Linked DNA regions of Tribolium castaneum. The protein of the gene in region 1 interacts with the protein of each later gene in a pairwise test. Links are inferred from orthologs where the notes say so. Each region holds a gene or a part of one and is shown on either strand. Other genes may lie near its edges.

What was found.
Region 2: the proteins of tim (region 1) and per interact in a two-hybrid assay, tested with the Drosophila melanogaster proteins (5 studies listed by BioGRID). The link is inferred for Tribolium castaneum from reciprocal best matches to the Drosophila melanogaster genes tim and per.

What each region holds. Positions count from the first base shown.
Region 1 is NC_087398.1:11,639,565-11,643,914, forward strand, and holds the start of tim (timeless), read right to left. Parts: upstream 2,841-4,350; 5' UTR 2,558-2,840; intron 143-2,557; 5' UTR 116-142; coding exon 37-115; intron 1-36. UniProt on the Drosophila melanogaster protein: Required for the production of circadian rhythms. The biological cycle depends on the rhythmic formation and nuclear localization of the TIM-PER complex. Light induces the degradation of TIM, which promotes elimination of PER.
Region 2 is NC_087398.1:316,294-320,589, forward strand, and holds the start of per (period), read left to right. Parts: upstream 1-1,395; 5' UTR 1,396-1,600; intron 1,601-4,296. Other genes in the region: zinc finger protein 569, read left to right, coding at 1-60, 137-352, 401-801. UniProt on the Drosophila melanogaster protein: Essential for biological clock functions. Determines the period length of circadian and ultradian rhythms; an increase in PER dosage leads to shortened circadian rhythms and a decrease leads to lengthened circadian rhythms.

The DNA.
Region 1 (4,350 bases):
AGTAATATCGCGACTTATTTTTTTGGAAAAAATTACCGTAGCAGTCGTCGTTTATTATAAGTGTGTCCCCATTTCGGACACAGATTGAAGCAAACATGTTGTGAATATGGGCCATTTGTGGGATTCACACCGAACATCAACACTGGAAAAAATGAGCGACTTGTAGCTATACATCAACGAACTGAAAACGTTCACTTTCTATAAAACGTGACAGTATCGTACACGTTTCTGTGCATTTTCTGCATGTGGTACTGCATCATGGTATTTGGCCTTGGTACTTTCTTATTGCATGAGAACCGTTAGTTTGTGATAACATGTACAGTTAGATATAACGGTGTTGCACCACACCTTTGTTATGAATGGGGTCTTGGTCAAGGGGGTTCGGCTCGAGTACCCTTGATCCAGATGGAAAGTTTTACAGACAAAGCTTTCGTAATTCGGAAATCGAGACCAAAAGAACCACAGTTCATTCATTCATTATTTGAAGCCTCAGCGTAATTACTTTATAAAAATGTGATTGTTTTGTAAGAATTTTTTTGTCCACTTTTCACCACGATTTTTTTTATTTTATCGTGAACGGTAAAATGGCATTTTATCCACTAATTATTTTATCGTAAAACGAAATTTTATGGTCTAGAGAAATATGGTCTACAAGCATGGTTGTTTTTTTGTTTTTGACATTTTTTATTGTTCTATTTTTTGATTTATGATTGTCAATTAAAATAGTAATTCGATCGAAATAATGGATTGTACTCGACGATAAAATTTACTATTATCTTCTCAAACACACTCACAGATAAAATAAAATTTTATCGTTTTGTATAATAAATAACTGCTATATATTAGCTGTTTCAAAACTATAAAAACGCTAACCTCGCCATTTTACTCAATTGTTTTCTTAAATAAGATTGATAAAATTACAAAAAAGCATAAAATTTTTGCTTTTTTCAATAATTGTTTCATTTGTAGGGTTTGTCTTGATTAGTGTTTTATATTTCGGTGATTTTTGTTGTGTATTTTTTTTTGGAATTTGAAGCCTTTTTGCATTATTTTGACGGATCTGTCACTTTGACAACATTCACAATTTAAATTAAGCGGCATATTACGTTCAAATTTCATAGGTGACTTGATGAGCAACCATTTTTGAACACATTGTATAAGTATATAAGAATAAATTATACAATGTGTTTTTTAATGATTCTCATCTAGTTAACTTTGAAATTTACGTGTAAAAAAAATTCTGCCACTCTAATCAATTGAATCCTCTGTCAATAAATGTCAAATTTGTCAATTGTGAAATTCAATTAATTTCTTTAAAAAATTTCGTTAAAATGCAACTAAATTGTTACACTGAGCAAGAAAACACTTCTATTATCGATTATCGAAGATTGTTTTCGATGGAGAACGGTAATATTCGATGTCTAAATGCTTATCATTAGTTCTATGAAGCGGAATTTTCTGATTTAACATGAGAAATTCATAGACGACTAGATTGTATTAGCTGTATTTTTTTGAAGTGCATGAATAATTTATAACAGCTAATTTTGAGAAAAATGCGATGTTGGCGTTTTTATAGTTGTGAAACAGCTAATAGTTTCTAAAAAAAATAATTAATTTTTTTCTTGTCACTGGGAAGAAAATTAATAAGCTTTTGTTTAAAATTAGTTCCTAAACACAATGTGTTGCACGTGTCGATTTTGTGAAACTTTAATTGAATATTATTATTGAAGTTGCGTATTTGGGGAGAAACAACGGTTTAAACAAATTAATTATTTCCTAATAAAGTGAATGCATGTTAACGTCAAATGTTATATTAGGGCACGTTTACAGTGAGTAGATTGTTTGTTAAAGAGTAACGTGCTTCGTAAATCGATTTTGTTTGTGGTGGTGCGATAATTATATCTTGAAATTAGTTTTATATTTTTTCTTTTACACCTTGTTTGGGAGATATTCTATTACAATGGTATTTTCCAGGTTTAGAAAAATGTCAAATGCAGATGATATCTGTCAACACCGTCGACGATATTATTTTCGGTGTGGTTAATGTCATTTTACTACGATTTAATTTTATCACAAATAATTGTCAACAAATGATTAAAATAAAAAAACACTGATTTTAATTTCATCAAATGCGAAACTTGTTTTGTAACAAAATTCAAACGGCAGATCAAAAAGAAATTGTTTCGTGATCTTGCTTTTCCAGATAATTGTTTGTGGTATTGAGAGTATCGTGTTTTATTAATCTCGTGGCAAAGCTCGTGACCGGAAGAAGCCGAAAAAGGAGATTGAAAATTTTCTTTGTCAAAATGCAGGACATTATTTCATAATGAGCATCTGGTTTTGTATGGCTTTTTCGACGTCATAAATGCAAATCCAATAATTTCAAGCGACACGTGCACATCGATATCCATTATGTTATGTCAGTAATAATAATTGAATTTAACAAAAAAGTATTTCTGATGTGATAATAATTAGTTACGCAACGCTACAAGGAGTGCATCTAACAGGCTATCGAATTTCCAATTTCTGCAAACTACATCAATAACATCAAACTTACCCAAAAATTCTAAAAAAAATCTAAGTAATTTTATTTGTGTTATTTATACAACTAGAGACGATGTGATACACCCAAAAAAACACAAATCAGGTAAATTAATTAAGTTAAAACCGACACAAAACGATGAGCGTATGAGATGATCCATGTTACAAGACTGATTAGAAAGAAGGGTCAACCGATCTTGCGGTTGACGAACATCTGGACGCACGTGAAACGACAACGTGTCTCGTTTACGTTAATAACGCAATGAATCGGAGACGTTTAAAGACGATTTGACGACTGGTAAACATGTGCGAGGTGGACTCATGTCGGGGGTGGCGCAAGCGCCACGAAAAACCGCCCCCAGCGCAATTTAAAGTGATTATTAGATATTTGAAAAATTTCTAGTTAAATACGATAAATAAAAATAAACATTCGCATGCCAAATTTCTTAAAAATTGGTTAAATATTTATCAAGATATAAAAATAAACGTATTCCTTGGGGGCTTTTTTTAAAGAGCAGTAGTAATAAATCGAAAACAATTTTTTTTAATAACAAATACGTAGGCATCTGTAGACACCCTGTATTTTTACTGTATCTTGAGCACAATCAAGAATTTTTTCAGGATTTTTTTTAATGTTCATTATAAATCTTATCTTATAATAAATGTTAATTAACTATTTAAATAATATTACATAAGCCGCGACAAAAAATTCTATTATTTGTTATGTTTTATGCTCGGTCTTATGTCATTCTAACACAAATGAATCAAATAATGTATATTTGTGCAAAAACTGACGTTAGTTTAAAAAATAGTTCATTAAAAAAAAACAAATATTCTAACAAACAATTTTGGGGCTAACAACATTTTTTACGGTTTTTTTGCATAAAACTCATTTATTATTTTTTTTTTTTTTGAAAGACGGGAGAAGTTAACTTCGATTAATCAATATTTTATCTGTGATTTTATTATATTTGTTCTTCGACAATGTCATAATTTACGGTTTTTCTCATGTGTAAGAAAAACTCTGGCATTTTTCAGTACGAAACATCAGATTATTTTTAACAGATTTAAAGATTTTATCCTTTACTGAGTCTAATTCGAGGAATAAAATTTTGTATTCAACACGCTTTTGTGTAAATCGGTTCATTTATTTCACCTTGTGCATGATGAATACAAATCCGCTTGTGAAATAAAGCGTTCAATTTATATTCAAGTCATTAAATAAATAAATATTAATTTTATTGTTTATACCAACTACTATTAATATTTTTATTTTTAAGTTGATAATTTTAATAATTGTGATTCCCGTAGCACTAAAGTCGCAAGATTTTAATATTTATTATTCGATAACTACAACAACCTCGAATTTTTTTGACAGACCTTGAACCAAAAATTTTCGCCCACCACTAACACTTTGAAACTTGCAACAATTTTTTTACATATTATTTGCACAAAACATTAAGCATCTTGGAAAAACAAGGACAAGAAATAATCAAAATTTTTTTGTGGGGTGCTATGTAATGTCAAATTAAATTTTGTATTAAAACATATTATAATATTAACCTACCATTTTAATATTTTTTTCAACATTAGCTATAGTTTTATTTTTTCTGTTATTTTTGATAGGAGGACTTTTCCATAACATAATTAGTTTTGTTGGCAATTGCCATTTGGAGTTATCGAAGTCTGACTGTATAAGAAATCGTAGAAAAATTCTGGAAACATTCACATGCATAGAAAAAACAAAGTATTTAATAGCAAACCCCGACTTTTGTGCAGTGATTAGTTTTTGAGATGCCGGAAAAAAGA
Region 2 (4,296 bases), about 11 Mb from region 1:
ATAACCACATGAATATACATTCTGGAATCAAACCGCATGTCTGTGCGATTTGTCTCAAAGGTAAACATTTATCTCAACAAACTAAACACTTAGTTTAAAAAGCGTTTTTTTACACAAGTAATTTTCTGAACTTCAGGTTTTAACCAAATATCAAATTTGAAAGACCACATGCGAACCCACAACGGTGAAAAGCCCTTTCTTTGTTCCACCTGTGGCAAGGGCTTCAACCAGTTGGGAAACCTTCGTCAACACACCATCCGCCACAGCGGCATTAAAGCCCACCTTTGCAGTACGTGTGGTAACGGTTTCGCCAGCAAAGGTGAACTTTCAGCCCATCTCCGAAAACACACCGGTATATCTCCAAATTCAACAATTATTTTGTACTTATTTATTATTTTAGGTGCGCGCCCTTTCGTGTGTCCAATCTGTAACCACGGCTTTACAACTTCAAGTTCGTTAACAAAACACAAACGAATCCATTCCGGGGAAAAACCGTACGAGTGTGACGTATGCAAAATGAAGTTTTCGCGGTCGGGGATTCTAGCCAGACATAAAAGGACGCACACGGGAGAGAAACCTTACGTTTGCAAGTTTTGTACAAAAGCATTTTCACAGTCGAATGATCTGACGTCACATTTGCGGATTCACACGGGGGAAAAACCGTACATTTGCGATGTATGTGGACAGGCATTTAGGCAGAGTTCTGCGCTTAAAACTCATAAGAAAACGCATCCTGGACGAGAGGTTATTGACACGAAAATTGGGGTCTTGGGGGTCATGCATACCCCCTTTTTAACGTAATAAAGTAAGGGGAAAAGTTATGTTTACCAATTAGTTTTTTATTTATTTTTTTAATATATCTACCACCTTGTAATTAATTAATTAATTAATTTTGCCAACATTTTATCAACTGTTATTTATTTTAAAGCGTTTTGCTCAAAATAAAATCCAGATTAGTTATTTGGTGTTTTATTATTATTGCCCTAAAAGACTTGGTCCAACTCTGGTATGACGTGCAGCAAAAACTTGGTAAACGTATTGAAAAAATAATTAACCCATTTGATTCAAATTGAAAACCAAAATCTTGGAGGTGGTACAAAAGATAACTACGTGTTATGGTGACATTTCGAATTTAAATCACGTGTAACAAAATTTGACGATTAAAATTAAAGAAACACGTAACACCTTTGGTTTAGATGACCCAAAAAAAATCTCCTAAAATTCTCAAAGTTACGTTAGGTTGTAGCCGCGTAATTCAAGGCATTAAAGCGTAAATTTAGCGCGAAAATCGGCGTCGAGGTGTGGACAAAGGACGATAATACTCTAGGGAAAGACAGCTCACGTTGTTGAAAGCGTGAGTAGTCGTCGGTTGCGTGCCCTCTTGCTATATTATATTCTTTCCTTTTCCTGCCTACTCTTTCCATCCGTCCCTGTCTCATTCTGCAATCTCACCAAAGGAAAATGTTGCGCCAGTAAAGTTTCAACCAGGCTTGCAGTAATATGAAATTATTTTGTTGCGCTTAATTATTGCGTTTTTTCGTGATTGCTACCAGTGCTTCGATCTTTTGAAAAATATTTACTGAAAATGTAACAACGTTTTGTAAGTACATTTTTATTTTAACCGAATTCCAGCATTTGGCTGTTTCCAGAAGTGCATTTTTTGAAGGGTAGTAGTACTCAACAAATATTTTTTTATTTTATTTAAACTTCAGCCTAAAGCTATTTGGACCTACCTTGAAGAAGTGCCAACACTGGCAACCAATGTTGCGAAAATTAGCTAACTAAGTGCTTTATTTCAATAATTAATATCTTTTACATGTAAATAAATATCGAATTAATCAATGCCACGTGAATTATGAATAATACAACAATTCTGTGACTTACCTTAATAGGCTTTCATGTGGATCTATGGTGCGATAAATAGTAAATATTAACAGGCTAAACTAAGCAATAAACATAATTAAAAAAAAGAACAAATCTAAAGCACTGTAAAAGGTCAAATTAACTGATTCGAGGCTTAAGCTCCTAAGGGACTTTGTGCACGAATTGTTTTAATTCTTTTGCGATCGCTATATACTGTTTCAAAATGCTGTGAATGTTGTATGTCCATTTTAAAACAGATTTTAAGTATAGATATATTCAAAGGGAAGAAAAAAAATGTTTTTATTCCCATTTTCACTCAGTATGAAAACTGGTTTGGAAACTCGCCAAAATAACTAATGTTACAAAACGAATTCAATTCATCATCAAGGCTGAATATTTATTTATTACTATCTGAAAAGTGACACCAAAATGTAATGGAAGAATAAAAAACTTGAGTAATCGAAATTCAATGTGATATTTTTTTCGATTAGATATTTCTGAGTAATTTGCGAACAAAATGCATCTTTTGAAACCTTCATCAACAAAAAAAAAAAGATTTAAGTAACTAATTGCTGAAAAGATGCGAACCGAAAAGTTTATCTTTTTTGACAATTTCGAAAGCTTATTAATTAAATTTTACTTGTTGGGCTCAAAGCATAATTGTTCGTTGGGTGAAGAAGAGAACACAAATGGTAAAACGCGACTTTTGCAAAAATAAATTCCCTCCCACAATGTTTTAAATTAGTTAATAAAGCTTGTATTTCTTGGCTTCCAATCCTAAAAATAACCTAATTGAAGGAAAAGTCGTTACTCATTGTATTAATTCGTATAGTTAAGTAAATACCTAATCAGCCGTTACATAAATAATGTTTACTTTTTCCGATACTCCTTTGCAGTGTACACGTTCAGAACAACGTGAATCCGTAACAGTGAGCGACTAAATTTGCCAATTTTATTTTTACAGTGTGTTTTATTGGTTACTGTATCACACGTTGCAAATAAATCTGGAGCAGAAAAATACGAGCAAAACCTTTTTTAGAGAATACATTCCCCAGATCTGGAATAAAATAAAGTCACCTGTTGCGCGAAAAATCTTCATTGAGCGAAAACGCAATACCTAGCTTTCAAAAAAATAGTAAGTGTGTTAAGGTGATCCTCTAATACCAAAGATTATGAGAGAAAGGTAATTGCTTGGTAGAGGACAGTTCTATAAATAAGTGATTCTTTTATTAGAAAGAACCCGAGCCTTTCTTTTGAAACATGTCATGAAAAGACGACGGAATTAAGTTCACATAACAACTTTGCGATTGGCAGTAGTTGGGGTCTGCACAGGAGAAGCAGCACGTTGTTGTACATGGGATTTTATGTTACGACATGAAGTAGTATTTAATTGCAAAGCGATTTTGTGTCAGGGGTTAAACCAAATTGAGTTGTTAATTACAAAAACCATGTTGTTAATTAAACACGTTTTGAATAAAATTTTAAATCTTGAAAGGATTTGAATCGAACCCGAGGAAATCAGACGTGATGTTCTCTTATCTCTGATTATGATTTGCATTTACATAACACAACGAAAAGTGAAAATTAATATTCTGAAGGACGTAGGACATTTCAAATTTTAAACTTAATCAAGGGAAATATATGTTATGCTGTTACAATCTGTATCGGTCATTAGAAGAAATGCATAATTTTACAAGCACCACAAAACACTCAATAAAGGTCGTATGTATTACAAAACTCTTATTACTATATGAAATGTTAAGATACAGCAGAGGAGTGAATTATAAAATTTGAAAGAAAAATAGTTGTGCTAATATACCAAATTGTTTTTTCATTTATTGTTTTACTATTGAATCATTAAATTTTTTTGTGGATCCAATATCCAATCCTTACCCCATTTCAAACAGAATCGATAGTTGTAGGAGAAACAAGAATCAAAGCCCCAGTAACTCAAATGAATCCTTAAAGGTTGAGCGCTCCAGACAATTACTTTTACTCATCTCAGTGTGTCAATTTACGCATTCGTAGTTCTTCTCCTTGGAACTAAAAGCTAATAGTTATTTTCGTAGAAAATTAGATTCCCTTTAAATAGTCGTTTAATAAGCTCCGGACAGTTGTTACATAATCTATAGTCAATTTGAACTAGCAATCTTGGTCTTCCGCGTTATATAAAACACTCGCTGCAACTTAAACCATTATGTAAGACACTGAATTACATGAACAAATTCGGAATTAGAACGAACGGTAAAAAAGTTTGCGGATTGCTTGTGACAAGGTCAGGTTGAGTAATATATAAAATTAAATCTAGAAATTGTCACATGCAATCAATAATGCATCCAATAACAAACTTTTTCGATGTATTTTTGGAACAATGCAACTGTAAACTTTATAACTGAAAACATCGGAATAATAGTGCAATTATTGCCCACGAGT